Linked DNA regions of Caenorhabditis elegans. The protein of the gene in region 1 purifies or fractionates together with the protein of each later gene. This does not show direct contact. Each region holds a gene or a part of one and is shown on either strand. Other genes may lie near its edges.

Evidence for each region.
Region 2: the proteins of spg-7 (region 1) and Y47H9C.9 fractionate together in Caenorhabditis elegans (co-fractionation; one large-scale study listed by BioGRID). This does not show direct contact.

Annotation. Positions count from the first base shown.
Region 1 is NC_003279.8:3,464,346-3,479,272, reverse strand, and holds spg-7 (AFG3-like protein spg-7), read right to left. Parts: upstream 12,142-14,927; 5' UTR 12,140-12,141; coding exon 12,020-12,139; intron 11,971-12,019; coding exon 11,808-11,970; intron 11,766-11,807; coding exon 11,693-11,765; intron 11,152-11,692; exon of another isoform or gene 11,086-11,151; intron 9,988-11,085; coding exon 9,789-9,987; intron 9,732-9,788; coding exon 9,607-9,731; intron 8,692-9,606; coding exon 7,546-8,691; intron 6,830-7,545; coding exon 6,721-6,829; intron 6,616-6,720; exon of another isoform or gene 6,497-6,615; intron 6,309-6,496; exon of another isoform or gene 6,199-6,308; coding exon of another isoform or gene 6,079-6,198; intron 5,476-6,078; coding exon of another isoform or gene 4,966-5,475; intron 4,917-4,965; coding exon of another isoform or gene 4,850-4,916; intron 3,122-4,849; coding exon of another isoform or gene 2,982-3,121; exon of another isoform or gene 2,973-2,981; intron 2,756-2,972; coding exon 2,636-2,755; intron 1,618-2,635; coding exon 1,324-1,617; 3' UTR 757-1,323; downstream 1-756. Other genes in the region: Y47G6A.15 (DUF148 domain-containing protein), read left to right, coding at 2,982-3,121, 4,850-4,916, 4,966-5,475, 6,079-6,198; Y47G6A.14 (RING-type domain-containing protein), read left to right, coding at 12,985-13,036, 13,088-13,215, 13,264-13,309, 13,353-13,449, 13,495-13,564, 13,622-13,720, 13,775-13,900, 14,415-14,567.
Region 2 is NC_003279.8:11,892,410-11,907,768, forward strand, and holds Y47H9C.9 (Zinc finger PHD-type domain-containing protein), read right to left. Parts: upstream 9,068-15,359; coding exon 8,858-9,067; intron 8,813-8,857; coding exon 7,062-8,812; intron 7,016-7,061; coding exon 6,703-7,015; intron 6,656-6,702; coding exon 6,380-6,655; downstream 1-6,379. Other genes in the region: eif-2Bbeta (Translation initiation factor eIF2B subunit beta), read right to left, coding at 296-656, 868-1,204, 1,250-1,311; Y47H9C.8 (NACHT_N domain-containing protein), read left to right, coding at 1,590-1,632, 1,690-1,770, 1,833-2,065, 2,132-2,398, 2,460-2,568, 3,194-3,269, 3,322-3,435, 3,489-3,546 and 2 more; Y47H9C.12 (Mos1 transposase HTH domain-containing protein), read left to right, coding at 4,292-4,353, 4,400-4,556; fbxa-216 (F-box domain-containing protein), read left to right, coding at 9,251-9,488, 9,531-9,651, 9,696-9,779, 9,827-10,508, 10,570-10,761; exo-3 (exodeoxyribonuclease III), read right to left, coding at 15,235-15,309.

The DNA.
Region 1 (14,927 bases):
GTAACCCAGTTTGTCTTAAAATTCCCAAAATAGTTTTATATTCAGAGAAACCACAACAAAATCGTTTTTTTTTTCATTTTGGCAAAATTTCCAATTTTAATTCCTTCCAAAATGAGAATCAGCGTCTTCGAACTCCGCCCACTCCGTTTGATTGGTTGAAAAATGGGCGGAGCAAATCGCTGATTGGTCGCAGTGCTCATTTTGGAGGAAATTAATTAGCCAAAAATGAAAAATCGAGTTTTTAAAAGTTGGATTTTTTCAGTTTCCGTTTGTGGCTTTTTTCTGAAGTCTATTTTGAATTTTTTTGAATTTTTAGGTATTTTTCTCAGAAATATTGATTATTCATATAAATCTCTGGTATTTTTTATATTCCACACAATTTTCGAATTTTATTTCGTGAAATGTGGTTTTTCAGTTTTTGAATTTTTTTACCCAGAAAATCTTGATTGATTTCTCAGCAAAAAAGCTCAAAGTCTTTAATATTCTAAATTAAATCCAAAAAGCTTATTTTTTAATCTAAAAAAATCGGATTTTGGTTTTATATCGATTATTTTAAACTTTTTTTCATTTTTCCAAAAAAAAAATTTTGTTTTTGGAAATTTGGTTTTTTTCCGATCAAAAAACATCAAATTTCCCCCAATTTCTTTTTTTTTGAAAATTTTGATTTTTTTTGAATAAAAGTATAATTTTAAAAAAAGTATAGAAGCAATAAAAATGCGGTAAAACTTTTTAAAAAAGGCTAGCAAAAAAAATAGAAAATTATAGATTTTTATGCACGAAATGTCGAATTACAAGGTCTAAATAACAAAAAAAAATTCACCTTATGTCGACGAAAAAAAAACAAGAAATAAATGAAAAAAAACAGAGAAGAATATTGGAAAAAGTGATACCAATCGATGCTAGAAAAAAAAAGAAAGATGGTGAAAAACTCTAAAATCCTACAAAACTAATATAATATAACAGTAAAATGAAAAAATTGAGTCTAGAAAAAAAAAAGAAATTCGAAGAGATCCGGTCGCACAGAAAAAAATCAGAAAAAAAATATTAGTGAAATTTGGTTTTTTTTCTGGCATTTTATTATTTTTTTAATTGGATTTTCTAAATTTTTATGCACTTTGTCACAGAAAATGCTCCATGTAGTCAAAAATTTCACATTTTCACATTGAAAAATCATTTTTTTTACTGCGACAAAGCTATTCAAAGTTTAGAAAAGTCTATTTTTTCAAAAATTGAGAGAAAAAATTTGAAACTTCAGAAAAAAGAGCAAAACATGTGCAATTTCCCCATTTTTTCGCCAGAATTTCAAAAATAAAATTTCACAAATTATTCATCATTTTTCTTCTTTTCCTCGTCCTTCTTCTTCTTCTCACTCTCCTTATTCCAATTTTCGAGACCTTTCGGAAGTTCAACATTTTCATCGAGTCCTCCGGTACCTGAGACCATTTCCTCGTACGTATTCTTCTCAACAAATGGTCTTTTTCCAACAAGTTCAATCATATCTTCACGATTAAGAATCTCTTTTTCAAGAAGTCTCAATGCGACTCGTTCAATATCACTTCTCTTTTCCAATAATAGATCACGGGTTCGGCGAAGTGCGTTCATTACGAGATCTCGGACCTGGAAATGTTAAAATTTTTAATATTCTAAATTTTCTACATTTTTTTTTCTACATTTCGAAACGCCAAAAAAAAAACGTTCTAGAAAATTTTTTGAAATTAGTGTTTTCATGAATTTTAAAAACATTTTTCAGAAAAAACATTTTCCAGGACCAGAAAATTTTGAAATTTTATTTGAACGCATCATTTTTTGAGAAATTTAAAAACTGTAGTTTTTCTCTAGCAACTAAAAATGAATTGAATTTTTGAAAAATTTATTCCGGCAATTTTGAAAATTTTGTATTTTTTAATCGAATATAGTTTTGGGTGATTTTTTAAATTGGATTTTTCGGTTAAAGTCAAATTTTCGCGCAAACGATTTTTTCCGGCAAATCAGCAATTTTCTGGAAGTTAAAATTTCCGGCAAATTGGCAAATTGTCGGAATTGAGAATTTCCGGCAATTTGGCAAATTGGCAAATTGACGGAATTGAAAATTTCCGGCAAATCGGCAAATTGCCGGAATTGAAAATTTCCGGCAAATCGGCAAATTACCGGAATCTAAAATTTCCGGCAAATCGGCAAATTGCTGAACACTATAATTTCCGGCAAATCGGCAAATTACCGGAATTGAAAATTTCCAGAAAACTGGCAAATTGCCGGAATTTAAAATTTTTGCCAAACGGCAAATTGCCGGAATTGAACATTTCCGGCAAATCGGCAATTTACCGGAATTGAAAATTTCCGGCAAACCGGAAAATTGCCGGAATTGACAATTTCCGGAAAATTGGCAAACTGCTGAAAATTAAAATTTCCGGCAAATCGACAGATTACCGGAAATTAAATTTCCGGCAAATAGGCAAATTGCCGGAATTAAAAATTTCCGGTAAATCGGCAAGTCCGCCCACAGATTATAAATTAATTTTGAATTAAAATTTTCAAAATATTGCCATTTTTCTGAAAACTATCAGAAAATATCATTTTTCTTCGATTTTTTCCAATTTTTTCGTAGAAAAAAACTAATTTTCTACCAAAATCCTACCTCCTGATCAATGAGCTGTGCGGTGGCCTCCGAGTACGGTTTATCAAATGCCATTTCTCCCGGAGCTGGTGTCTCAAACGACAACGGTCCGACCTTTTCGCTCATTCCAAACTTGACGACCTGCAAGGAAAAAGGTCTTTGTATTATTGTGTGCAGCAATTGTGCAATGTAATGTATACTACAATAGTAGTATGAATAATAATAATAATAATAATGATACATCCGTAATTTCACACTGCCCGACACCACTGACTGACTCATTCTCTTCCCGCACACTGCCTGGTACCGAATCTTACTATATAAGGAATCCCGACGAACGTTCTAATATCAACCATCTCAACAAACTATGAAGATCATACTTCTTATTCTCATCGCTGCCTGCGTCTCCTCTGATGCTACAAATGATTCGAAGAATGCCGTTCTAGGAGCATCTACATCAACTCAATTGGCCAGTATTATGAATTCACTGCACAATCTTCAAGGAGGGTGAGGTTTTTCTGACTTACAAGGGATAAATCTTTAAATTAAATCTCGGATTTTGATATGGCATAGTAATTAGTAATTTTTTTCGATAAAAGAGTGTTACTGATCAAGGGTGGGAAAACTTTTTCAAAGTCAAGAAATCAATCAATCGAGAATTCTTGATTTTAAATGTCAAGAAAAAATCAAGAAATCAAGAAAAATCAAGAAATTTCATTCGGCTAATATTTTTGAACGAAATTGAAAGAAATAGTTCAATTTTTCAGTCTTAACTTTTTTTTAAACGAATATCAACAGAAGGAACTTCAAAAATTGACAAAACGTGCAAAATTATTCATTTTTCGATAAAGATGTTGTCAATCTTTTTGAATTTCTTTCTGCAATCCTCATTCTTTCAACTGAAATCGGGTTTTATGATGTTTTTTGAGTTATTTTATTCTGAAAATTACAAAAATTGGAAAATAATTCAGCCTAAATTTCGAATTAAAAATTTCTTGAGGAGGGATTCTTGACAAAATGTCAAGAAATCAATCAATCAAGAATGCCCACCCCTGGTGTCGACTTTTCGATTTTTTTCAGAAAATCGAAAAATCGGAAAAGTTTTTTTTTCGATTTTTCAAAAATTAGCTTAATATTTTGGGTTTAGAAGAAATTTCAAGGTTTTTTCTTATCAATATAAGCAAAATTAGATAAAAAATCATATTTTATGGTTAATTTTTGGAACATTTTTTTCGATTTTTCGATTTACCAGAGAATCGAAAAATCGAAAATTTTCGTTTTTCGGTTTCCAATTTTTCGATTTTTCGAATTTCACCGAAAAATCGAAAAGATCGAAAAATGACACCCTTGTTACTGATGACTGCTCCGAGAAATTCAGCTGTACATCTTCACCAATTTCGTTTTGATCTACGAGAATTGCGGGAGAAGAGACGCAGAGTTCTTAACTGATTTCGCATGGCTAAGACTGTGCTGACGTCACATTTATCTGGGAGAAAAATTCCCGCATTTCTTGTAGATCAAGTCGTAATGGGACAGCCTGGCACCACGTGCAGCTTCGGCCAGGTTATTATTTTTTTAATGCCAAAAAACACATTTTAAATATTTAGAAAAAAAAAGTTGTTTTTTTTCAAAAGCTCAAAACAGTAAAAAATACCCTAAACTATACGAGTTTTAGCTCATAACAATCAAGAAAATCAACGTTTTGGAATTTTTTCATGGTATGTAGGACTTTTTTTGGCTTTTTGCACTTTTTCAATAAAAAAATGGAAAAATGGAAAATTTTTTCGGCGGCACATCTGGTTAGGATCGATACTTAAAAAAAAAAATTTTCCGAAAAAAACGTTTTTTTTTCAGAAAATCGGCATTTTGCTTAAAAAATTTTTTTTTAATCGAAATTGATTCAGAAAATTTTTAAAGGGATGAATAAAATAATATTCTCCAAAAATTCCCAAAAATTTAATGGGGTTATTCAAGTAATGTAGCAAAATGTATTAAAATACATTTGTGACGTCAAAAATGTATTTAAATACATGTTTTTTATATACTTGAATAAGGTTGTGACGTAATTTTTCTACACTTTTTAATTTTCCGACACTACTTGAATAACCCCATAAGGAAAAAGGCAAATTTTAAGCAAAAAGTGATTTTTTGAGTGATTTTAAGACATTCATGGTAAAGCAGAAAAGTTCGGTGCATCTATTCACGATAATTTTCTTAATTTCCACCTTTTTACAGCGGTCCAAACGCACAACAGACATACACAGGAGCCCAGTATAATAGGCTGGTGGAAAAGTTTAAAAAGGTGCGGTAATCTCAAATCACCTCGAAAAAATTAGGACACCTTTTTTCAGGAGGTTGACAAAGCAGATGAGCTCGAAGCGGAAAAAAGACAATTAGAAGCAGAAATGGTCAGTTTGAAACGTAATTTCGATAGCCAGTCTGCAGAACTTGTGAAGAGTCAAAATCAAGTTCTGAAACTCGATTTAAACGTGATGAGATTGGAGGCTAAACTAACATCCTCGGACGCGAATCTTGATAGAGCAAAGGACGAAGTTGAGACAGCCAACAGACGTCAGAAAAGAGCAGAAGATGACGCCAAAGATGCTCGTGATGAACTTGAAAAGGAAAAGAACGCCAATAGGGCAAACAAAGCCCTTGTGGATGAATTGCGAAACGCTGCTGCACAGACGACAAACGAAATGAGAAGTCTCCGAAACCGCCTGGATGAATGCAATAATCAGAGAAATGGACAGACGACAACCACAACACAAGATGGTTATCCGTTTGTGTCGAATCAGCAGAATCAGCCAAGAGCATCAAATACTAATCAAGGATTGGACAGAGTTGACGTCATTTTTGTGGTGAGTGCATTTTACTATTTGAAAAATTGCAATTTTCGCGTTTTTTTTCCTCAAAAGGTCACAATCTCCACACAGTTTTGTATACAAAATTTTGTAGCGAAAAAATTCTAGAAATAGCCATTAAATGGGCGGAGTCTGATTCGTTTTGAAGATTTCTCTTTACATGTTTTTTAAAGAGCTCCGGCCATTTTTTGAAACAAATTCAGTTCGAGATGAAAATGCTAGATACCAATAAATGGGCGGGGCCTCTTGGTGGATTTGCTTCCAAGGAGTCATAAGTATCGTTTTTGAGATTTCTCTTTTAAATGCCTTCTTGTACATTTTTGGCCAACAAATTTGCCCGTTTTTCAAAATTGAAACGAAAACATTTCGAAAAGGCCAATAAATGGGCGGGGTCTCTTGGGAAATCTATTTCCACGGAATGAAATCTCCGAAAAACCAAATTTTCGCCTATTTTCTGCCAAAATTGCTTCCTTCCAACTGTTCCTCCTTAAAAATACCTAGTTTTGTAGCGAAAAAACCCCGAAAAAGTCAATAAATGGGCGGGGTCTTTCGGGAAATCTATTTCCACGGAATCTAGTATCCGAAAATCTCAAATTTCAGCCAAATACCAACGGCGACCAAGGAAGCATCCAATTCGGAAATGGCTCGCCAAATAATGGTCGTGGTGGTGGACAATACGTAACTCCACAGCATCTGCTCAACCTGCTTCAGCGTCATTAAGCTATTTATTCGAGTGCCTACATTCTTTGTTTTTCAATCTAATTTATTTGTCCTATTCTTTTCATCTTATTCTTTTTCTGTTTTCTTCTAAATAAATGGTTTCAATCGGGAAAGCAGCTCACACATGTCTTCTGGTATTTGCCTGAACTCTCCATTTTTCACACACTATTTCTCCTTGGCTCTCCTCCCGCCGAAACAAAAACATAATCGACTTCATATGTCAGATAAAGCTGCTCTCTCAGAGCTCTTCAGTCAAACATTCCCCCATCCATTCAATCATGAAATTTCAACTGATTCTTCTTCTTCTTCTTCTCCAAATTCTGATTATTTTCACGGCTCTCAGCGGCTCGGCTCCAGTCAAATGCACATGCAACGTGGATCCGGACACTGGCATTGCGTCGACGATTTGTGAAGGATTGACAGAGGCTCTCGACAAGAAATCGCCGGTTTTAGATTAAATTCGAATACTTTTTGCAACTTTTGCTCCGTCTCAATAAAGCTGTAAAATAAAATAAACCAAACCTGTGAATATGCCATTTGTGTAACTTTCTGTAGATCATCTTGTGCTCCAGTTGTGATTCGTCCGAAGAAGATCTCCTCGGCGACGCGACCTCCGAGTGTCATGCACATTCTGAAAAATTTTTAAAAATTTTGAAAAATATCGAAAAATTAAAGGTTTTCTTTTGCCAACAAAATTTGGCTCTTTTTTTGGTAAAAAATCGCAAAATCGAAAAAAAAACAATATTTTTTGAAATATGCATAATTGAAAAAAATCAGAAATATTGATTTTGAATTGAAAAATTTCAGCTAAAAATTTATCAGTACAGTGAAATCTTTTGGGAAAACATCCTAAATGAAGGGAAAGATTAAAAATTTTCGAAAAAATTCAATTCTCTGAATAAAATATTAAGATTTTTATTATTTGGGGAGAAAAAGTTAAATTAGCTTTTTTCCTATTTGTTTGAGCTTTTTTTTTAAATTTCGAACTAATGTCGACTTATTCCTGGTTCAAAATTATGATTAAAAAAAATTAAATTAAAAAATTTTAGAGTGCATATCCGCCGCCAAAGCTTCATAAAAGTGAAATTTTGGGGACCTTTTTGCTTAAAAATCACGTTTTCGTGATTCAAAAAATTCCAGAAATCACGATTTTGCACAATTTGTAACTACGATCAAGCAATAAGTGTAATATTGTCGGGAAAATCTCATAAAAGCACTTTTTGATACTATAAATATCCAGAAATCACGATTTTAAAGTGTTTCCAATCGCGATTTTGACAGTTTTTAACAGTTTTTTCTTGGAAATTTTTTTGAAAAATAAAAACTTAAAAACTGCATCATCATTACCGATCAAGCAACTGATCCTTTGAATACAAGTATTGCTCCTTCGGCAAATACTGTGCATATCCGAGACCCTTTCCTCGTGGAATAATAGAAACCTTCAACAGAGGATCCGCATGCTGTAGGAACCATCCAGCAATAGCATGCCCAGCTTCATGATAGGCTACAGTCTTCTTCTCCTCTTTCTGCAAAACCTGCGTCTTCTTCTCCATTCCAGCGACGACTCGTTCGATGGCTTGTTCGAAATGTTTATTTGAAATCTCGTGATTCGCATCTCTCGCCGCAATCAGCGCAGCCTCATTGCACACATTCGAAATGTCGGCTCCAGAGAATCCTGGTGTATGGGCGGCGAGTTTTCGTGAAAGCACAGTCTTGTCGAGGGAAGTCCGAAGTGGTCCAAGATGAACTCTAAAGATTGAAGCACGACCTTTGATATCTGGAACTGGAACATAGATCTGTCTATCAAAGCGACCAGGTCGGAGGAGTGCCGAATCGAGAATATCCACACGATTCGTGGCGGCAATCACAATGACCGACGATTCATCAGTTGTGAATCCATCCATCTCAACGAGAAGCTGATTCAGAGTATTCTCTTGTTCAGAGTGTCCACCCATTCCACCTTTTCCACCACGTTTTCTTCCAACTGCGTCAATTTCATCAATAAATAGAATGCACGGAGAGTTCTTTCTAGCCATTGAGAACATGTCACGGACTCTTGCAGGTCCTACTCCGACGAACATTTCCAGGAATTCGGATCCCGATACAGTGATGAATGGAACATTTGCCTCGCCGGCGGTTGCCTTCGCGAGAAGTGTCTTTCCGGTTCCAGGAGGTCCTGTTAGAATGGCTCCTTTCGGAATTTTCGCGCCAAGATCCTTGTACTGCTGGGGGTTCTTCAGGAAATTCACAAACTCCATAATTTCGATTTTTGCCTCTTCACAACCGGCAACATCGGCGAACTTCACCTTGATATCTTCTCGATTAATGACTCTAGCCGTGCTTTGTCCGAATCCACCAAACATTCCACCGAGTCCACCTCCACCAGCTCTTCCGGCTCCGCCAGCTGCTCCACCGCCTTTCAGCATTCGATAGATGTAATAGCCGAAGAGAAGAGGGAATGCGACGCTGATGAGGTTTGGGATTTCGCGTTTGCTGAAAAAAAAAGGTTTTTAATTGAAGTTTGGGGGAGTTTTAATGTAAAAATGCCTGAAAAATTGGATTTTTTCAAATTTTTAGTGCAGAAAATCAGAAAAATCAGAATTTTAAAAGAATTTTAGTGCGAGAAATCAGCTAAATTGCGTTTTTTTTTGAATTTTTGTGCAAAAATTCAACAAAATTGATATTTGTTGGAATTTTAGTGCAAAAAAATCAGAAAAATCGGATTTTTTTTTGGAATTTTTAGGCAAAACACAGCCTAACTGCGATTTTTTAAATTTTTTCTGCAAAAATTCAGCAAAATTGATATTTGTTGAAATTTTAGTGCAAAAAAATCAGAAAAATCGGATTTTTTTGGAATTTTAGTGCAAAAAATTGGCTAAATTGAGTTTTTTTTGGAATTTTAGTGCAACAAATCAGCAAAATTTTTTTTTTTGAATTTTTTGGCAAAAAATCAGAAACATCGGATTTTTTAAAAGACTTTTAGTGCAAAAATTCAGCAAAATTGAGATTTTCTCGAATTTTTAGGCAAAAAACAGCCTAACTGCGTTTTTTTAAAAATTTTTCTGCAAAAAACCAGCAAAATTAATTTTTGTTTTTGAAATTTTCAGGCAAAAAATCAGAAAAATCGGATTTTTTTTTTGAAATTTTAGTGCAAAAAACGAGCAAAAAGCAACTTTTTCCATAATTTTTGTGCAAAATTTTCATTTTCAGTGACTTTCTGAAGGTTTTCACTTTAAAAACAAAATTTTAACTACAAAAAATGTGAAAAATTAAAAGTTTTTCTGAATTTTCATGCAAAAATTATAACTTTTCCCATTTCCCAGAGCTTTTTCTTTAAGAAAATCGGGGGTTTTTTCTTTTTTTCTCTAATTTTTCTTGAAATGGAGTGATTTTTGCAGAAATCCTTACAAATTGAATTCAGATTTATATAAAACCGGAATTTGTCGATCAGCATCATACTGGAGATGATGCTGAGCAGCTCCGAGGCTCCGTTCGAAGCTATCCACACTTCCGATGTTGAAATAGCACGTTTGCTGAAAGAAAAAAATTCATTTTTTCACGAATTTCAGTGCAAAAACTAAAAAACTAACTCCTGCATACTTTCCAGACGAGCTAACAATTCGAACCCATCGCTTATCAACTACTTCAAGTCTCTCGACAAGTCCAGCTTCCAGGAAATCACTGTAAAACTCCTTCCAGGAAATTTCACGATACGACTGATAATCCATAAAGGCGTAGAGAGCGAGCAGAATTCCAACTGAAACGGCAATTTGTTGCCATCCTCCTGGGCTGAAAATTGGAGGAATTAGATTGATTTTAAGGGGTTTTAGAGGTTTTCTCCGTTTTTTTAAAGGTGGACTACGCTCAGTGGGTAAATTGCTTTAAAACGCGCCTATGGGGTCACATTGACCGAATATCATGATATTAAAATTCAAAAAAATTTTCCAGATTTTATATGATTTTTTGAAAATTGGAAAAATCACAGTTTTCACCTAATTATTTTTGAATTTCCGCCAATTGAATTTGTTCGGTGGAGCGCACTTGCATTATTTTTATTTATTAATTTTATTTATTCTCGTTATTTGACTGATTTTCTTCATTTTCTATGTTTTTTCCTCGGAAAATGGAAGAAATAAAAAAGACAAATGCAACATTTTTGTTAAAAAGTAATTGAAAATGAGTAAAACTGTGATATTCTGAGTTCCGACGGCAACAAGCCTGAAATTAGTATATTTCACAGTTTTACTCATTTTCAATTACTTTTTAACAAGAATTTTGCATTTGTCTTGTTTATTTCTTCCATTTTCCGAGGAGAAAACATAGAAAATGAAGAAAATCAGTCAAAGAACAAGAATTTAAAAAAATTAATTGATAAAAATACTGCAAGCACGCTCCACCGAACAAATCCAATTGGCGGAAATTCAAAAATAATTAGGTGAAAACTGTGATTTTTCCTATTTTCAAAAAATCATATAAAATCTAGAAAATTGTTTTGATTTTTTTCACATCGATATTTGGAATGAGAAGAAAATTTGGAGACATTTGAAAATATTTTCCAGATTTCGGTACCCCACTTTTAAATCTTAGAAAAGGTAAATGTGCTCAAAAGAGGCACCACGTTTTCAAGATCTAGCCGGAAACGAGATCTACGAAAAGGAGGTCTACATTTTCAGGATCTGGCACCATGCCAACTGCGGTTTTCGCAGTCTACTCGAAGAAAAAGCAACGATGCTCCGATATTACGCATCGCACGTTGTTTAGTCAGAAAAACCTTTTTTGAATAAAAACTTCTGAAAAACGCTAAACAACTCGCGATGCGTAATATCGGAGCATCGTTATTTCGATTTTCTTCGAGAAAACTGCGAAAACTGCACTTGGCACGGTGCCAGATCCTGAAAACGTAGATCTTCTTCTCGTAGATCTTGAAAACGTGGTGCCCCGCTCAAAAACATCGTGGGCGGAGCAAAAAACCGTGCCAGAATTGCAAAAATGGGCGTTTTTTTGTTTTTTTTTTCTCGGAATTTTTTTTCAACGATTTGGAAAATTCGTGATTTCATTAAATTTTGAATTTTATTGAAATGATTCCGAAATCCCGAATTTTCGATTTTTGAAAATCTGGAAAAATGGAGAAAATGCTAAAAACGCCAATTTTTGCAACTCTGGCACGGTTTTTGCTCTGCCAATAAAACTTTTTAAAAAAACTGCTAATTTTAGCTAAAATCACCAATTTATTTTAAAAATATTGGATTTTACAAGTTTTTTCCGGATCTTTGGGACAATTTTTGCCAAAAAGTTCAAAATACGGCCCGGGAAACCTGTAAAAGTCAATTTTTTGAAATACTCCAAAGAAATTCGACTAGAAATGATTTCCGGGGCTTCTCCGAGACTTCAATAAACAAAATAACGTGGTGAAAAGCATCTAAATGATGATAATTTGGGCGAAATTTCAGATTTTAGCCAAAATTAGCCGATTTTTGTGTCTATTCCTCCTCACAATTGATTAAACGGATTATTATCCTCTCCCTTATTTCCTTTGCTGTCCTTTTTGTCAGAAGATGATGAAGATTCTGGAAAAAACTTCGAATTAATGATAATTTCCCTCTGAAAACCTTTATTATCCGTCGATGCTTCCTTCCTGAAGAACTTTTTCAAATCATTTGGTTTCGAGGCGAAATATCGAATTGTCTGCTGTACTTGATTGAAGAATCGCTCTTCAAATCGCTGATCTTTTGCGAGAAGATGCAGAACTTCTTGTTGTTTTAGCACGGATTTCTGCAAAAAAATTCAGAATTTTCAGTATACTGGCAGGCGGTAATATTACATCATCTTTGGCTACTGCTGAAAATGAGCTGACTGAAAATTGGCGGGAATTGACAGATTTGAAGCATGATTCGACCGAATTTCTCAGCTGCTTCGGCGTTTTTCGGTATAATCGCCACATTTCTGCAATAGAATTTAATTATCATAATCATGCACTGCGCAAACAGTGAGAGATGACGAAATCTTCGATTTTAAGATTGAGGAACGAGGGAAAAAATTAAAAACAACCAAATTTCAGCCGTTTTCTACTTTTTCGAATATTTTTTCTCGAGAAAAATGTTTAAAATTATGCAAAATACAAGGAAAAACCATAAAGCTTCAAAAATACTGAGCACTTTTTAGAAAATAGCAAGCGCGCTCCATCGCACAAGACAATGCGCGCGTCGTTTGAAATTAGTTTCCAGTGCACAGAGCCATGACGCAAAAGTGAACGATTAGTTTGCGAAAGTACTTTGAGAAATTTTGGAAAGAAATTGGCAAAAAAAACGTTGTGAAATTAAAAATCAATGTGAATTTCCATGGAAAACAGGCATTTTTTGGGCAAATGTTTTTTTTTTGAGAAACTGACGGTATTGGTAGATTTTCAGTGTGGATAATCTATGGATTTTATTATATACTGAATTAAAATTCATTAAATAGTGTAAAAACATAATAAAATTGTGAAAATCAAACCGGAATCACGGGAAATTTGATTCAAAACATTGAAATTCGATGACGAAATAAACAAAGGTCTTACTGTAGTTTTTAAAGGCGCAAGCACATTATCCTCCTTGAGACTTGAAGCGAAAACGCTTGAAACTCAAATATTTGCAAAAACATTAATTTTTCCGGATATAAATTGTATAAATTGTTTTTCCTTAATTTTAAACGAAAATTTCAATTATTCGACGATTAAAAATAACGAAAATTTAAAAATATTGATTTTTCTAATTTAAAAAACTTTATTTTTCAGAATTTTCGAGAAAAATGGATGTTAATGAAGAACTCCCGACTTGCCCTGTGTGCCAGGAAGAATTTGGTGAAAAATATCCCAATTTTTATTGTAAAACAAGCACATTTTTATTTTCAGATGATCAAAAGGCTCCATTCATCATATCTTGTGGCCATTCTCTATGCGAAACTTGCATTGTGCACTTGAAAAGCGATTATTCTGACGCATATGGATCTGGTGGCCAGACACAATGCCCGACATGCCGCGTATGGCTTAAATATATTGATATCTGTTTAAAAATAAAATAATTTCAGGCCGTGGTTAGCAAGGAGAAGCGAACAAAAAACTTTGCATTGACAAGTTTTAAAAATATTCATATTTCCCGAAAAAAACTATTTTTCAGATGCTGTGACCATGATCCAAAAGCTTCGTGAGAAGCCAAAGAAGCCTGCAAATGCAGTGGACTGCACTCAATGCACCAAATACGACAACGAATCGGAGTAGGCCTCTTTTAATTAGAAATAACAAAAAAATTCAATTTCCAGCATGTTCGTCTGCCGCAATTGCGTCACTGATGCCTTCAAATACGACGTCGTGGAGAATTTGGGTGCCGAGGTCCGGAAAATATCCAATTTCAAAAAAAAAAAAAAAATTGAAAAATGATTTTTTAAGGTGGATTTGGATATCAAATCGTTGGCGCTTTGTGGAAGTTGTGCACTGCGATCTCATGTCACACAGGGCCACGAGACTGTGGCTTATTTCCCGGTTGCGGTATATTTAAAAAATTTATTTGTAAAGAAAAGACTTAAAATTGTAAATTTTCAGTCCGGAATGAACTTCGCAAGCCAGCTTACAAGTATTTCTCTTCTGAGAATTGAGCTCGAATCGTCGTTTGGGCTCACCAATGCGTGGTATGCTCGGTTTGCATCGACATATAAGACATTCCACACGGTGATTTTGATTTGATATTTGAAATCGATGTGCGCGGTCAAAATTTCGATTTTTCGGATATTTTCAGAGATAATCTAGGAGAAAAAATGGAAGAATACTATGAATTTATCAAAAAAAAAAGTGGATTTCGATTTAAAAAACTAATTTTTCTTCGGAAATTAGTGAAAATTCAATTTTTTTTCCTCGGAACACGAAAAATCGTTTAAAAAAATCGAAAAATTTTGATTTTTGAAAATATTTGGTGACAAAATCTTTGAAGAAGTTTTCTGTTGCTTTTCGTGATTTTTACGGAAAAATGACGTTAAAAATGCATTTAAAAACAATTTTTTCATCAATTTCGACATAAAACAATTGAAATTCGAATTTTTTGAATTTTCCAGTTTTGCCGCCATGTATACCTAACGAGACCGATAATTTGGAGGCGGAGCACATTTCCACGTTGATTTTTAAATTTTAAGGCGCATTTTTCTGCGTCTCCATATTATTTTTTCAATCAATAATCAAATAATTCCAGGAGCTCGACAAGATGACGGATATGATGAGAAAAAGCAAGTCTAGTGATGTCCAAGAGGAGTTTTCCAAGAGAATTGATCAGGAAATCAAAAGAATGTCAGATTATGTACAGTCTGTGTGCTTGGAAATTGCCAATAAGGACAAGGAATATCAAGTAAAAAATCGTCATTTTTGCGTCAAAAATACGGTTTTGGGTCTCGAAACGAAAGATTTTTGCTGGATTCGAAATGGTGTGCGCCTTTAAATAGTACTGTAATTTTTGTGAATTTTGAACAAATTGACAGAAAAAGTATGGGAAAAACATCGATTTTTCTTCGTTTTTCTGTCGAAAAAAATTCCTGTAATTTCACTTTTTGGAATTTTTTTTCGACAGAAAAACGATGAAAAATCGATGTTTTTCCCATACTTTTTTTGTCAATTTATTCAAAATTTACAAAAATTACAGTACTCTTTAAAGGCGCACACCTTCTCGCCTTCAACAAAAATCTTTCGTGTTGAGACCTGATACCGTAGT
Region 2 (15,359 bases), 8.4 Mb from region 1:
TTTAAATTTTATTTTTTATTTTTTAATTTAAATTTAATTTTTGTTGAAAAATGCCACTAATAGTTTCGAAAAAATTATAAAATTTAAGTTGAAAATTGATTTCTAGCTGATTTTCTCGAAAAATTCGCTTTATTAAATTTTTTCCGTTGATTTTTTTTTTCGGAAAAAAGGTAATTTTAAGCACTTTTTGAATAGAAAAGTCTTCAGAAAACGATTTTAAATTTTTTTTAGAAAAAAAAACTGATTTTTAACCGATTTTTTAGTCCTTTTTTAGAAAAACGGGCATTTTAAGCACCTGGAACACAATGCCTCTTGGCAAGAAGTGCAATTTGATGTCCACCAGCAGGTACAAGACATGATCCATCAGGGAAATAAGCAGCAGCGACTAGAACAACTTTCGAGGCTTCAGGCATCTTCGAGGCGACTTCATAGAGCTCAATTGCAGTTGCAAAGTCAGGAGTTGATTCAATATGTTCTTCTTCATCAACTACATCAATTACACGATGTTTTCGGCCTGATTTGACGGCATGTGATAGGAAATTGTGCATTGTTTGAGATGAACGAAGTGAATGAACTAGTACAACATCATTATTGAATAAAAGTTCCGTTGATTGAGATGCAATACATTCACGAGATGATTCGATTTCCGTTACTAGCTGAAAATGAAAAAATTGCATTAAAAATGTGTAGTTTTTGAATAAAAATTATAATTTTCCCTTTTTTTTGATATTAATATCATCGAAATCTACATTTTTTATGAGAAAAATTAGTTGAAAATTCTAAATTTTAAAAAAAAAAATCGATTTTTTTGAGCAGAAATTTTCATTTTTTAGCGACTTTTTTCTGGTTTCCAGTTCCCAGCATTACCTCCTTAATGGAAGCCTGAAGATCTTTTTTAATCTTCTTCATATCAGCTGTTTTCAGCTTTTTAATCGTCTCATCGTCATCTCTCCACAGCGTATACAGTGGCTCCGGCTCTCCGCCGCCTTTCTTCTGAAGAACTTCGTCTCGAGCCAATTTCGTGATCATTAAGCCGATATTAATAATAATGAGCTCCGATCGCTCGGCTCCGTGAAGCTTTTTGCAGTGATTTGCCAACGAAACTTGCAAATCGTTCATTGTCTTTGGATTTTCGCGGAAAATGATTTTTCTGATCAAATTCACTGTCGCAATTGCTATGGAGGAAGAGGAATCACGTGGAAATCTGGAAAATGAAGGAATAATTGAGTTTTTTCATCAGAAAACTCACTTTTTTCGTAAAGCAAAAATAAATGCTCGCTTCAGGTCTTCAATTTCATTGTCCGAGCTCATTTTGAATCTGTACGGGTTTAAATTTTATTTCTAATGTTTAAAATAAAAGAAATAAATTGAAAAAAAAGCAAGTTTTAACTTTAAAAATACACTTTTTGCCAAAAAAATGCAAAAATGTGTTGAAATTATCCTAATGCAAACGCGCTCCACGACTAACTTTCTCCAGTGTACTTCTCTCGAATCAATTTTTGTACTCCTCGTGGACATTCTTTATTTTAAATTTTTATCCATTTCTCTGTAGATTTTACAGTAATTCTTCCAAGATTTTTTTGTGAACAATGAATAGAAAACGCTCAAAAGAAGACGTGGGTGGGTTTAATGGTTAGTAAAACTTGTGAAAGCTTCGAAAAATCGATAAAATACCAGAAAATGCTTCAGATCTCCCAGCAAAGCGTCCTGGAACCAGTCAAAACTCGATACGTGCGGCACTTGAAGAGAAATTAGAAAGATCTCCGATAGGTGATTCAATTTTTAAATTTTTACTTGAGAAAGTAGAAAAATAATAATTTTTTTCATTTCAGAAGACCTAGAATTACAACTGGAACAGCCTGAAATTAATGTGGAAGAGGTCGGAAGAATCATTGCCGATGGAATAATTGAAAAAACACTGGATGACGAAAAACTGAAGGAGCTAACACTAAAATTCGCAAAAAATGTGCCAACTATGGCGAATATTAGCATTTGGAATCTGTCCGAAGAGCTGAGCACTGGAACAATTGATAGTAGACTTGTAGTCATTGGAAATGCATTTCTGGTACGAAATTCCAAGAAATTATCTGAATTTTCACCTAAAAAACAAAAAAAACTGGTTTTTTTTCAGTGGAATTTGCTCAAAACTTCAATGTCAAGCATTCGCGAGAAATTTGAAAATTATAAATTCAAAATTCACACAATGAGTGCCACGTCATCATCTCTACAGTCCATAGACTTCTCATCTTCACGTATCCGAGCCGGCGAGCATTGTATCCAGGAAACTGAGATTTTCCGGAAAATGGATCTTTTAGAAATCTATAATTCTGTGGTTTTTCGAAAAAGTGGAGATTTGAACGGGAAAAGCAAGCAGATTATCAAGAATTACTTTGCTGTGGTTGGAAAAATCAAAAATGCATTAAAAAAAAAAAAATGTTTAAAAAGTCGATTTTTTCCAGGCATGCCAGCCAAAATGCGCAATTTGGCACTACAGCCTCAGACAAAGCGGTACTTCGCACAAAAAATGGCTTCAGGACATTCCACCGCATGTTGTGCACACTTTGCTCCGTAAGAGCTCAGAAAAAAGCTCAAAAACCTCGAATTTCATTGGGAAAAACGCTCAAAAAATTCGAAAAAACGTCTAAATTTAGCGAAAATCTCAGATTCTGATTTTTTAAGAAGGCTAAGGCTTAGGCTAGACTTAGACTTTAGGCTCAGGCTTATCCCTAGGCTTAGGCTTAGGCTTTCGGCTTCTTCTTCTTCTTCTTTCTTAAAGAGAGGAAAAAAATCCCAGAAACTTCAATAATTCAGAAAAAAGAAAAAATACGGCGAAAAATGAGACAAGCCGGACAAAAAAAACAATTATGAATTTTTCTGAATTTTGTTAATTTTTGTAGTACATTACCACTTTTTTACTTAAAAAGTGCCAAAAATGTGCAAAATTTAGCTGAAATTAGGCATTTTTTGTAATTTTTCCGTCAAAAAATGTCCAAAAATCACCAATTTTGCTCTTTTTCAGGTCCATGTTTCGTATTTTTTTCAACTTTCAACCGGAAAAGTGCAAGAAATCAGTTTTCAATCGCTGAAACAATGAAAAATTGCAGATTTTAGCTGGAATTTGGCGAAATTTTAAGATTTTTGAGCTATTTTCTCCTTCTTTAAATCCAAAATCCACTAAAAATCTATTTTCCAGATTTCCTGATCTGCCTGGCCGGACTTGGAGCCCCGGAGCTCGACCAAACTTTCGAAGAAGCTACCGATTCTAGCGAGTAAGCCTGAAACCTGAAACCAGTTAAAAATTAATTGTCAATTTTTTTCCAGCTACGTGGAGTCTCTTGGCGACACAAATGGAGCCCGTGAGGTGGCATTTGAGACTCTAAAGTCGACCCGTGAACAACTTTGCTCGAAATTCCGACAATGTGTGACTGATGCTTTGTAGGACCCCCGATTTCTTCCTAAATTTTACGTTTAAAAATCGATTTTTTTAGGAATGAAGCCCGAGAAATGCCGTATAACACTGTCACAAGAGAGCTTATGGCGCCTCCGGTAGGGTTTTATCGATTTTTGCTGTGATTTTTTGAGCACTAAAAATCCGATTTTCAGCGCGGAAAACCAGTGGATATGCATCATTGTGTGACGTGGCGCCAGTACGAAAGCCTCATCAGACGATGCGATACGAATCCGTCGAAAGAGAATTTAGAGGCGAAACAAGACTTGGAGTGAGCAAATTTCCCATTTTTATTCGAATAAAAAATATATTTTCAGCTTCAAACTCATGTTCACAATCTACCAGCCACGTGCCGACGATGAGGAAGCGGAAATTGATGTTAAGAATTGATTTTTTTTTGTGTTTTTCGAATAAATGTTATGATTTTAAAATGTTGTTTTAGAATTATTGAACAATTTCAGGGCAGGCAAAAAGAGCATGTAAATTTCAGAAAACTGACCTTTAAAACTGATAAAACTTTGTCATACAGTTAGCTCGTTGCAATCTGCTCTCAATTTATAAAAAAAAAAGATTTTCTTCCACAAAAATGCGTTTTTTAACTTTTTTAAATGATTATTTTTCCCAGTATATTATAGTAATTGAGAAACGCAATAAAAATGTTCCCCGAGGTACTGTAGTCGGCGGAGTACGCAATACACTTCGCGGAGTGTATTGCGTAGCGTGCGCAAGACATCACGCGCAAACAATTTTTTGAAATGTTTTTTTGTCGGAAAACCAGTTTTTATCGCAATTTTCGTCGAAAATATTATTTTTTCCAGCTAATTTTCGGTTGAAACGAGCAAAATGTCTGCTGCCCGCTCTCGTCGCAATGGCAAATCCAAGGAAATGGAGGATTTGATTGAAAAGTTTGTTTCTTCCTTTGACTCTATTTAAAAATTGTAAATTTTCCAGGAAACGGATCCAAAAGACAATTCTCTTGCGGAATAGCAAAATCGCCACCAGAGCATTCATTCTGTCCCTTTATCTCCAAAAAATTCCAGTTTTGAAGGCATACGACACGTTTTGTGGGGTTCTCGGAGACGATTTGATGGAATATCGGGAAATTTGATTTCTGGTACTATCAAATTGGAAATGGAGATGCTAATTTGACCTGTAAAATGAGGTTTTTCAATTTTAAAGTGATTATTTCCATATAATAACTTTCAGCTACAACCCAAAAAGTCCGATTTTCACCGATTTTCCCGACACGGTTGTCCATACAGTTTTGGAAAAGCTATTGCCAGCGGAAAGGTGATTATTTTAGCCTTATTATTACAGAAATAATTTAAAAATTGTAGAATGGTGGTTCGAAATGTGTCCAAGAAGCTGAGAAATCACGTGGTGTCAATCTGTCTCATTGCGACTCATTGCGAGAAAATGCGGAAAAAATTTTCAAAAAATCGTGACGTCACAGAGGCGAGAGTTCATTAGAGCAGCTTTGCTGCATGAAATTTAGGTACCGATTTTGCAATATTTTTCTGCTTTTTATCGCATTTTTAATAGTTTTCAGATGATTTTTTCGAATTTAATTGCATCATTATGTTTAAATCGTATTTTACTTCATAAAATCGACCCAATTTTTCGTTTTTTTTCGCTTAATTTTCAGAATTATCGAGAGGAAACGGATTTTTGGGCGAATGAAGCCGTTTCATATATGTTTTCGATGAAAACGATAATGTTAATAAGCTTTACATGTACTTTTCGGTTTTATACTTTCTTTATCCGTCTTTTCCTTATCTGAGCAACGTTTTTTTCAGGGTTTTGTCCTTTTCCGGGCCGCAGTGAGCACGAACACATTGGAGAGTTCGAGATCGTCCAGAGAGAGTGAGAATTTCAAGTAGCTCTCACAGGTTTGTGTTGAAATCGAATTGCAAAGTGAAAAGTACAAATTTTGCAGGCCACACAATGCATGGAAGCCCGAGAATCACACCAATCACAACCGGAACAACAAGGCTCACCGTAATGGGATCACGAAGCCGAAGAAGCACATCTTCCTCTCCATAGAAGGAAGTCGACGCCAAGTTCATCAAGAACCTCCGTTTCGAGGTTAGATATAGATCCGGCGATCTTTCTTTATTATCATTGTGATAAGATAAGACATGCAATTTCGATTCCTCACGAGTACAACAAAAAAATTAATGTCGGGGTTTCATGATTTGCTTTTTTATAAATTTGTATTAGAACAAATATTTTCAGATTGAGCGACGTCGGCGAGCTGGACATTGTTGATGCGTATTTGGGATTGTTCGCAATAAATTGGCAAGAGGAGAAAGTTGTGAAAATCCTCGGAGCTGGAGAACTGCCTGCAAACAACAAAAATGCTGCTCCAATCAAATATTTGAATGATTTGGATATTCTTCTCGATGGAAGAATCATTTTCGCCGAATCATCAACAAAATTCGATGATCGTGATTCCATTCTGGATCTCTTCGAGCATCGTCCAAATGGTCGTCTTTTAATTTATGATCCAAGAAAGAAAGATTTGAGAGTGCTAAAATAGTACTAAAAGCGAAGGAAGCACATCTTCCTCTCTCTCTCTGTCGACGTCAAGTTCATCAAGAGCCTCCGTTTCTTCAGAAAGAACAACAAACGTCAGATCAACAAGCCCGTCGAGTCACTACGTAAGTTTCGAAACAAGGGTTTTCACCCTGAAAATTTGAAATGCTAAATTTAAAAGTATTTTCTTAAAAAGCAAAACATGTTTTGTTGGGAAAAAACAAATACTGAATGCAAAAATGAAATAAATCACGCAAAAAATTATATAACAAGGTCAAGCAACATAACAAATAACAATTATCAATTTCTGAGAAGTAACCGGACCGGAAACAATTGGAAAGTCAACGGAACGCAGAGAAATGGTTAGTGAAACAAGAAAAACGACATCGAACTAACTTAATTACGAATGTAGTCGCATGTGGCATAAACGTAACATTTAATGAAAATCATTTTAAAGCAATATGTTGCCCGCGTAGATAACTTTGCAGAAGTTCGGATTTGAGCATTGAGTTTGTTGTACCACGAGTGAAGAGACTCGATACCCTGCTCACTAGTCAACGCCCAGGTCTTTTTTGCGTTTACGAACGGCATCACGTGCTCCAAGAGCACATGAAGCTTTGGAGTGACGACGTCATCAGGAGCGTAGCTTTTTAGGGCTTCCCAAAGGTCATTCTGAAATATAGTTTATTTATATTTATAAAGAAGCTAGTGTAGTTTACGATGTGTTGATCCATTAGTTTAATTTCATCATCACTCAGTGTTCGGGCAACGCATAGTTTTTGCAATTTGCCAAGTGAAATGAGAAAAGTCGCGATGCCGTCACGATCTGAACCAGCAGGAAAAATGCCTAGATAGTCGAGGACCGCAGCTTCTTCCAATAATTTTAGCGTGTGATTTCCTGTGAAATTCTGCTGCCAGGCAGACATATCAGCACCATGGCGTTTCCAAATTTCCTCAAGCCGCTTTCTCGTTTTGTTCTGCCCCCCCCCCCCCGCGGTTTGGATGAGACTATCGTATTCTGCTTGAGCTAATCTGTAAATTGAAATGCTTTCTTTAAAGAAAATATAAATACTCCAACCTCAAATCTTCCATCAATTTATTCTTCTCATTTTCCAGATGTGCAATGGTGGATTCAGCTTCCATCTCGATGCGATTCACCGTCATGGATCGACACTCGAAGCAATCCACGTCAGGAGAATCTTCAGTGGTAAGCTTCCAACTTTCAGGGTCCCACAGCCCACAGCATACGCCGTGTACAGACTTGGAACAAGTCTGACAGTCCACTTTGCGCCCATCGTATGAAGTTGCCAGTTTCATAGTCTTGTCCTTGAACAAGCACATCGCTGCTCTACACGGCTCGGCTGGTGACTTGTACCCGTTGACTTGACGATCCTTGAAATTTTGAACAACCTGAAGAGCACATTTTGTTCCTGAAAGAAATTCTTCCAGCTCCTCCAGTTTTTCAGCTCTATCATTGACTACTGCCTTCGAGATCCTGGTTTTCTTGATGTCACCCCTTTTTAATTGCATGGAGGGGTTATCCAACCTTGCAGCCCAAAGAATCAGGTAGTCAAACGCGAATCTCTGGGCTACTCCCATGATGATATGCAAGGATGGAGGAATCACGTTGAACAAACTGATGAGATCGAACAAGAAGCTGGAATTCTGTACAACGTTTCTTCTTGCGACATGATGTGATGGCTTGGACGGTTTGGAGCTATCTCTCTTGTAGTCATCCGGAGTTCTGAGCTCAATGTTGTATCTGCGAAGGTACCTGCTGATCGACTGCCCTCGTAGCGAAAAGCACTGCATGCACTGATAGGTACTGTTTCCTCCCTCATGACCAATAGCATCGCATTGGAACTTCATATCTCCCCCAAGATACTGCTCCACAGGTACATCAATGTCCTTATCGCCTACTTTTATCTTTAGGAATAATAATCGATTGAGTTGTTCAACGATGGGACCTAGATACTTTCGAATGTTTTCACTGCTTTCGTCATCATTGAAAATGCCAAGTGGAATTAGATGGAAACAGCTGTTAGGTTGGGAGACATTTCCAATTGACAAACATAACTTGAATTCTTCTGATCCTTTATCGCCGAGGATCGTAAGCCAAATAGGATCGTCTCCAACTACCATCTTTCCATTAGCAACTAATTCATTAATCCTTTCAGTTAACATTTTGACGACGTCGAGCAGATGAACGGCGACCACGGATTTACCGTCAACGGTATGCTCGGTGACCTTGAATTGATCCGAGGAGCCAACAACTTTCTCCAGCTTTTTGATCTCATGAATAGATGGCAATGGATCGATACATCCACTTCCTCGCAGCATTTGTTTCAACTTGGTGAATCGTCTTCTCGTGAGGTTGCTGGCGTGATAGAGATATAATCCTTCCCTCTTTGACATCTTCCATTTCAGAAGACCCAACTTACTCAATCTTCCAAGAAGAAGGCGGTAAAATTCAGAAGATTCGCCGCCTAAAATCACTTTAAATAACTGTATTTGTAGGTATTTCTCACCACATCGCTGAAGTTCAGCTCTCGCTATCTCTATTCTCCTAAACTTCTCGCTCCTGCTGATGAGATTTTTGAATTCAGTTTTGAAAGGTGGCCGTTTCCCTGCTTTCAGGTCCCGAATCATCTTAACATCTTCGACTTTTTCCACATCTGCCATTCGTAATTCATCATTTTTTCCTGAAAGTTGCCGATCTAATTCCCTTTTTGCAGTTTCCAAACGACGGTTTTCAGTTTCCAAAACTCCTTTCTCCCGTTTCAACTGCGTCCAACTCTGTTTCATCGTTTTCAGTTCTTCTTGTACAGCCTAAAATATTATCTATTTCAGCAATTTCTTATCTCTATTATATACCTTGTACTTATCATTCAACTTTCCCAACTTCTCAGAGTGCTCTCCATTAAGCTTATCCCTAATTTTTTTCAGCTTTATTTCAGCATCTTCTTTCAAAAGTTTTGCATCGCTCACGTCCCTTGTCAGCTTCTCATTGTCTTGCAAGGCACGTTTCAGGTCGGATGATAAGGATACACCAAGAGGCGTCGTCATCCTAAGCGGCGTAGACATGGCTTCCTGTTAAAAAATGTCACTTTGCCCAGAAAATTTTTGCATAGATTCCTTGGAGGGGTCCTACCCTTTTTAAAGCACAACAATATTTAATAACATTTATTATAGTATAAACAATTTAACTTTTCAGGATGACGAGGATGGTCGGTATAGATCGATGGCGAGGATGGTCGGGATGCATCAATGACGAGGATGGTCGGGATTGACGGCTCGCGACAGGACCGGTACCTTCGAATCAATTACTATTTTTTTTCAGGTCATTTTTTATTTATTGTAGACCAATTTCGAAAATTAAACCCCGTAGGGCATTTTATTCTTCCAGATTCGTCGGCCCTCCGAGCAGCTCCAACAGCAACAACAACGGCTCCAACCTCCCCAACCGCTTCAACAGTAACGACGAAGAAACGAATAATCTATAAATGTATTGTAATCATTCTGTCCCTTTATCTCCAAAAAATTCCAGTTTTGAAGGCATACGACACGTTTTGTGAAGTTCTCGGTGACGATTTCATGGAATATCGGGAATTTGACTTCTGGTACTATAAAATTGGAAATGGAGATGCTAATTTGACCTGTAAAATGAGGTTTTTCAATTTTAAAGTGATTATTTCCATATAATAACTTTCAGCTACAACCCAAAAAGTCCGATTTTCACCGATTTTCCCGACACGGTTGTCCATACAGTTTTGGAAAAGCTATTGCCAGCGGAAAGGTGATTATTTTAGCCTTATTATTACAGAAATAATTTAAAAATTGTAGAATGGTGGTTCGAAATGTGTCGAAGAAGCTGAGAAATCTCTTCGACGAGCGCTACCGTGTCATCAAAAATGTTTACATGCAGGTGCAAGACGAAGAAGCGATTTTATTTTTTGAAAATCATGAGGAGCTGGAAAAAACGTTTTCATGTAATGGAAATGATGGAAATGAGAAATATTTGGAAATTGCATTGGAAAAAGTAGCGAAATTCACGAAAAATCATAAATTGGAAGAATTTGAAGTTCATTTCGATGATGAAGCCGGCGAAAAACATCGATGGGGGCTGTATGATGATGTTTCGGATATGTTTAAAGCTTCAAAAGCTGTTCTGAATACCAAGAAATTCTCAATTGAACTATTGCGGCCGGATGATGCGAAGGCAGCGTTCTCTCACTTTAAGCCAGGAAATCTCGAGGACATTGAAATTGAATATTTCTGCACTGGATACAAGTACCCAAAGTATCCCAGGTGTCCTCGATATGATGATGATTCAGATGACAGTTTTGAGGATAATATGGGAATGTACGAGCAGCTCACCGAGCTCGCGCACTGGCAGAAAGCGAAAAAAGTCAAAATCGGAGTGGATGATTCGTTGGATTTTTCAATTGAAGCCCTTTTTCACTTGGAAAACTTTGAGATTTCCTTGAATAAATTCACGAAAAATGATGCTATCAAGATTAGAGATGTAATTTAAAATTTAAATTTTTAAATTTTAAAAATGTTCGTAATTTCACTTATTTTTTCAGGTTCTCCTGCAAACCGCTCACTTTCAATCCGGAATCATCACATTCTCCAAAGATCCAGGAGGCACTAACATGTTGAAGGTGTTCAACCCGAAATATTCTGGCGGTGAAAATGGTCCAATTATCTATAAAACCAAGGATTCTCGCTTCGAAATTGGGCTTGGATACTCTTCTATTGAATTTAAAAGAATTTAAACGAGAACAATGAAAAAATCGACATTTTTTGCTGAGTTTTTTTGTTAAAACGATATTTTTTTGTTCTACATTTTGATTCGGTGCAGTTTTTTTTTTTATATTCCGCAACTTTGTTTTCTAATAAATTCTTTTTTATGTCATTACCCAGTTTTATTTTAAAAAACAAGTATTTTTATTGTTTTTCTCATATTTTCATGAAAAAACTAAATGAAAATCGGGAAAAAGCTTCAAACACAATTATTTTCGACTTTTCTTCAGAATTCTCTATTTCGCCATGTTTTTTAGCATATTTCATAGCGATTTTGTGTCAAAATATAGAAAATCCACTTGGTTTATCTGAAAATAACATTTATTTCAGCTGAAACATGCCCAATCCTGATTAAAAAGTTCTCGGGCTACTGTAGTCGGCGAAGTACGCAATACACTTCGTGTTGCCTATTGCGTAGAATACACAAGATTTCACGCGCAAACATTTTTTGAAATTGTTTTTTGATTTGAAAAACGTTAAAACTAGATTTTAATCGCAATTTAAATTGTAATTTTTGCAGTTTTAAACGAAAAAAATGCCGAAATCCATCGCTCAATCTCGACGCGATGAAAAATCCAACGAATTAAAGGATTTGATTGAAAAGTATGTTTTTTTTTCTGCCATTCTTAAAAAGTTTATTTTTATATCTTTCAGGAAACGGGTCCAAAAGACAAATCTCCTGCGAAACAGCAAATCTGCCACCCGAGCATTCATTCTGTCCTTGTATCTCCAAAAAATTCCAGTTTTCGAGGCATACAGCAAGTTTTGTGGGGTTCTCGGAGACGAATTGATGGAATATCGGGAATTTGACTTGTGGTACTATCAAATTGGAAATGGAGATGCTGATTTGGACTGTGAAATGAGGTAATTATCATAATTGGCAATTCGTAGTACTTTATAACTTTCAGCTGGGATCCAGAAAGCCGCGGTCTCTCCGATATGCCACTCGCAATTGTTCACAATATTTTGGAAAATATTCCTCCACTGGAAAGGTATATCCTACTATGAAATCAGCAGAAAAATGAAAAAAAAAAAAAAATTTCAGATTCGTTATTCGTGATGTCTCCTCGAATCTGCGATCTCTCTTCGACTATCATTATCCTGTTATCAAAAAAGTTACCATGGAGGTGAACGACGGCGAAGCTCGCTTGAAGTTGAATAATCAAGAAAGTCTTCAACAAAAGTTTAGAAAAAGTGATGAAGATGAGGATAGTAACTCATATTTGGAAAATGCTATGGATCAATTGGAGACTATCACGACAAATAATAAATTGGAAGAGTTCGAATTAAGATTTGGAAATGATCCGGACGAAAGAAATCGGTGGGAGTTGAATGGGAAATTCCGAATGATGTTCTTATTTTTGCGTGTTCAGTTAAACAGCGTCCGAAAATTCTCGATCGGAATGTTAAAACCTCATGATGCGCAATGGATGTTCTTTCGCTTCAAGCCAAGAGTTCTCGAGGAAATTGAAATTCGACATTTGACTGTCAAAGACACAGAATTTGACGATGATGAAGTATTTGAGGAAAATATGGAAATTTACAAGCCGCTCACCGAGCTCGAGCACTGGCAGAAAGCGAAAAAAAGTCAAAATCGGAGTGGATGATTCGATTCATTTTCCAATTGAGACGTTGTCGCATTTTTCGCATTTCGAGATTCGTTTGAAGAAATTCACGATTCAAGATGCAGAGAAGATCAGAGATGTATGCTAAAACACCGGGGATTTTCGTTATATATTCTGTTTTTTTTTTCAGATCGTCCAGAATTCCCCTTCTTTTCAATCCGGAATCGTCAGAAGCCACATCAAAAAGCCCTACCAATTTGTGAAGATTTTCAACCGAAACGTTGCACAACAAAGTGGCTCAATCATCTATAAAACAATGGGATCTCGCTTCAAAATCAATTTTGGATATGACTCGTTTGAGATTAAAAAAGAAAACAATAATTAATGTCCGGCCTTTGTTAAGTTTTTGTTTAAAGTTTAAACAATAAAATTGTTAGTTCGATTTTTTTTTTGATATTTCTTCTTATTATATTTGAGTTCATTCATATTTCCCACAGTGGTACTTTCGAAACTTGTTATTTTTCGAAAAAAAAAACACGGCGTTCCGACTGTTCTTTAGCAAATTTTAGCTCGTTTTTCGGCCTAATTTGAGTGAACTTAAAATTAAAATAAGCATGAAAATTCTACAGAATTATACCTATTTTGCCATGTTTTTTCAACATATTTCATTGAAATTTAGTTGTTTTATCTGAAAATAACAATAATTTCAGCTGAAACATTTGAAAAAACGCTCAAAATTGGCCAAATTGCTTTAAAACATGCCTATGGTACCACAATGATCGAATATCATGATAAAAAATTCAAAAAAAATTTCTAAATTTTTATGATTTTTTGAAAATTGGAAAAATCGCAGTTTTCCCCTAATTCCTATTTAAATTTCCGCCAATTGAACTCGTTCGTTGGAGCGCGCTTGCATGATTTTCATTATTTTCCTATTTATTTCTATTATTCCACTGATTTTCTTCATTTTCTGTGTTTTTTAAATGCGCGCTCCACCGAGCGAATCCAATTGGCGGAAATTCAAATAGGAACCTATAGGAATTAGGGGGAAATTAAAATTTTTCCAATTTTCAAAAAATCATATAAAATCTAGAAAAAAATTTTTTGAATTTTTTAAAGGCATGTTTTAAAGCAATTTCCCCACTGGCCTCACTCTACCTTTAAGCACAAATCCACAAACTCGACTCCCCCAATGAGTACAATGTCAGAGTCCGATTCCTGCTCTTGTTCTGAATTCGACGAATCGATGGATTTGTGTTACGAGTTTGTTGCTTCTTTAGTTTAAACTCTAAATAATATGCATTTTCCAGAAAAATAATAGAAAAGAAGAATCTTCTGCGAAACAACAAAATTGCCATTCGCTCATGTATTCTGTTCCTGTATCTTCAGAAAGAGTCTGTCTATAGTGCATATCACTCGTTTTGTAATGTTCTCGGATACGGTTTGATGGAATATCGCGAATTCGACTTTTGGTACTATCAAATCGGAAATGGAGATGCTGATTTAGACTGTGAAATGAGGTAATTAACCGAGCCGCGACGCGACACGCAACGCGCCGTAAATCTACCCCAGGCATGACCGAGTCAAAATGGCCTAGTTCGGCAAACTCTTACATTTCAAAATATGAGGGAAGCTAGCGAGAGCGCCTTAAACAAAATAAAATAACTTTCAGCTATGATCCAAAAAGTCGCAGCCTGCCCGATATGCCTATCCAAATTGTTCATAAAGTTCTGGATGATATGAAACCATTTGAAACGTCAGTCTTCAATGCTTACTTAATTTTTAAAAATAGTTAATACCCAAATTTTCAGATTTCCTATTCGTAATGTGTCTCGAAACTTGAGATCTATCATCGACAATCGCAATTCTGGCATCAAAAAAATCTCGATGAGCATGGGCTACGATCGATTGGAGTTGTACCATGATGACGATGACGAAGATTATCGATCGTATACGTGTCGGAAGAATAAAAAAATTCGCAATAAGGAATATATGAAGAAACCATTGGACGACGTGGCGATTCTATTGAAAAATCCGAATCTTAAGCTGGAAGAGTTCAAAGTGGAGGTCAATGATGAATTCACTGAAAGATTTGAAGTTGCTAACTGCTATGAGAATTTCAAGGAGACTTTCAAAGCTTCGGAGGCGGAAATTAGTGCTAAAAAATTCACGATTGACATGCTGGACCTGCAAGATATTACCCAAGTCGTTTCCCATTTTAAACCGGGAGATCTCGAAGAAATTGGCATTGATGAGCTCTCCAATAAGAAGGACGTGGAACAGTATTTATGATGATTATGTTGATGAAACAATGGATATGTACTTGGCTCTTTTTGAGCTGGAGCAGTGGAAGAAGATTAAGAAACTTCGAGTCTGGGATCACCGTTTTACTTTCCCAATTGAAAATCTCTTCCATTTGTCGGGTTTTGAGGTTAAAATGGAAGAATTCACGGTTGATGACGCCATCAAGATTAGAGATATACTTTAGAAAATTGATTATTTTCAATAAATCTGATTTTTTTTTCCAGATTCACATGAAATCCGATCACTTTCAATCCGCAATCATCAGATGCTCTACAATTAAGGCTTCTCAACTCGCGATGCTTTTCAATCATGAGCAATCAGACGAAGAACATGCTCCGTTCGTCTATGAAACCGAGACGTCACGCTTCAAAATTAGGCTCACCTTTGGCTATTTGGAAATTAAAAAAGAACAGTGATCTCGTGTTGTTTCCATTTTTTGAAATTCTGTTAAACATTGTTACTTGTTGATGAATTTGTTTTTTTTTTTCAGACTTTCTAAATTTAAAAATTAGTCGAGATTCATCAAAAATACAAGTTTTAAAGCAATATTCACAAAATAAAATAATCAGAAGCAATTTAGAAGTCGATTTGCATGACGACCGGAGCATGGTCGCTTCCCATCACCGAGCTCATGATATCACTGCGTTTGACCTGAAAAAAGAACATTAAAATTGAATTTTAATTTGGATTTTATCAAAATT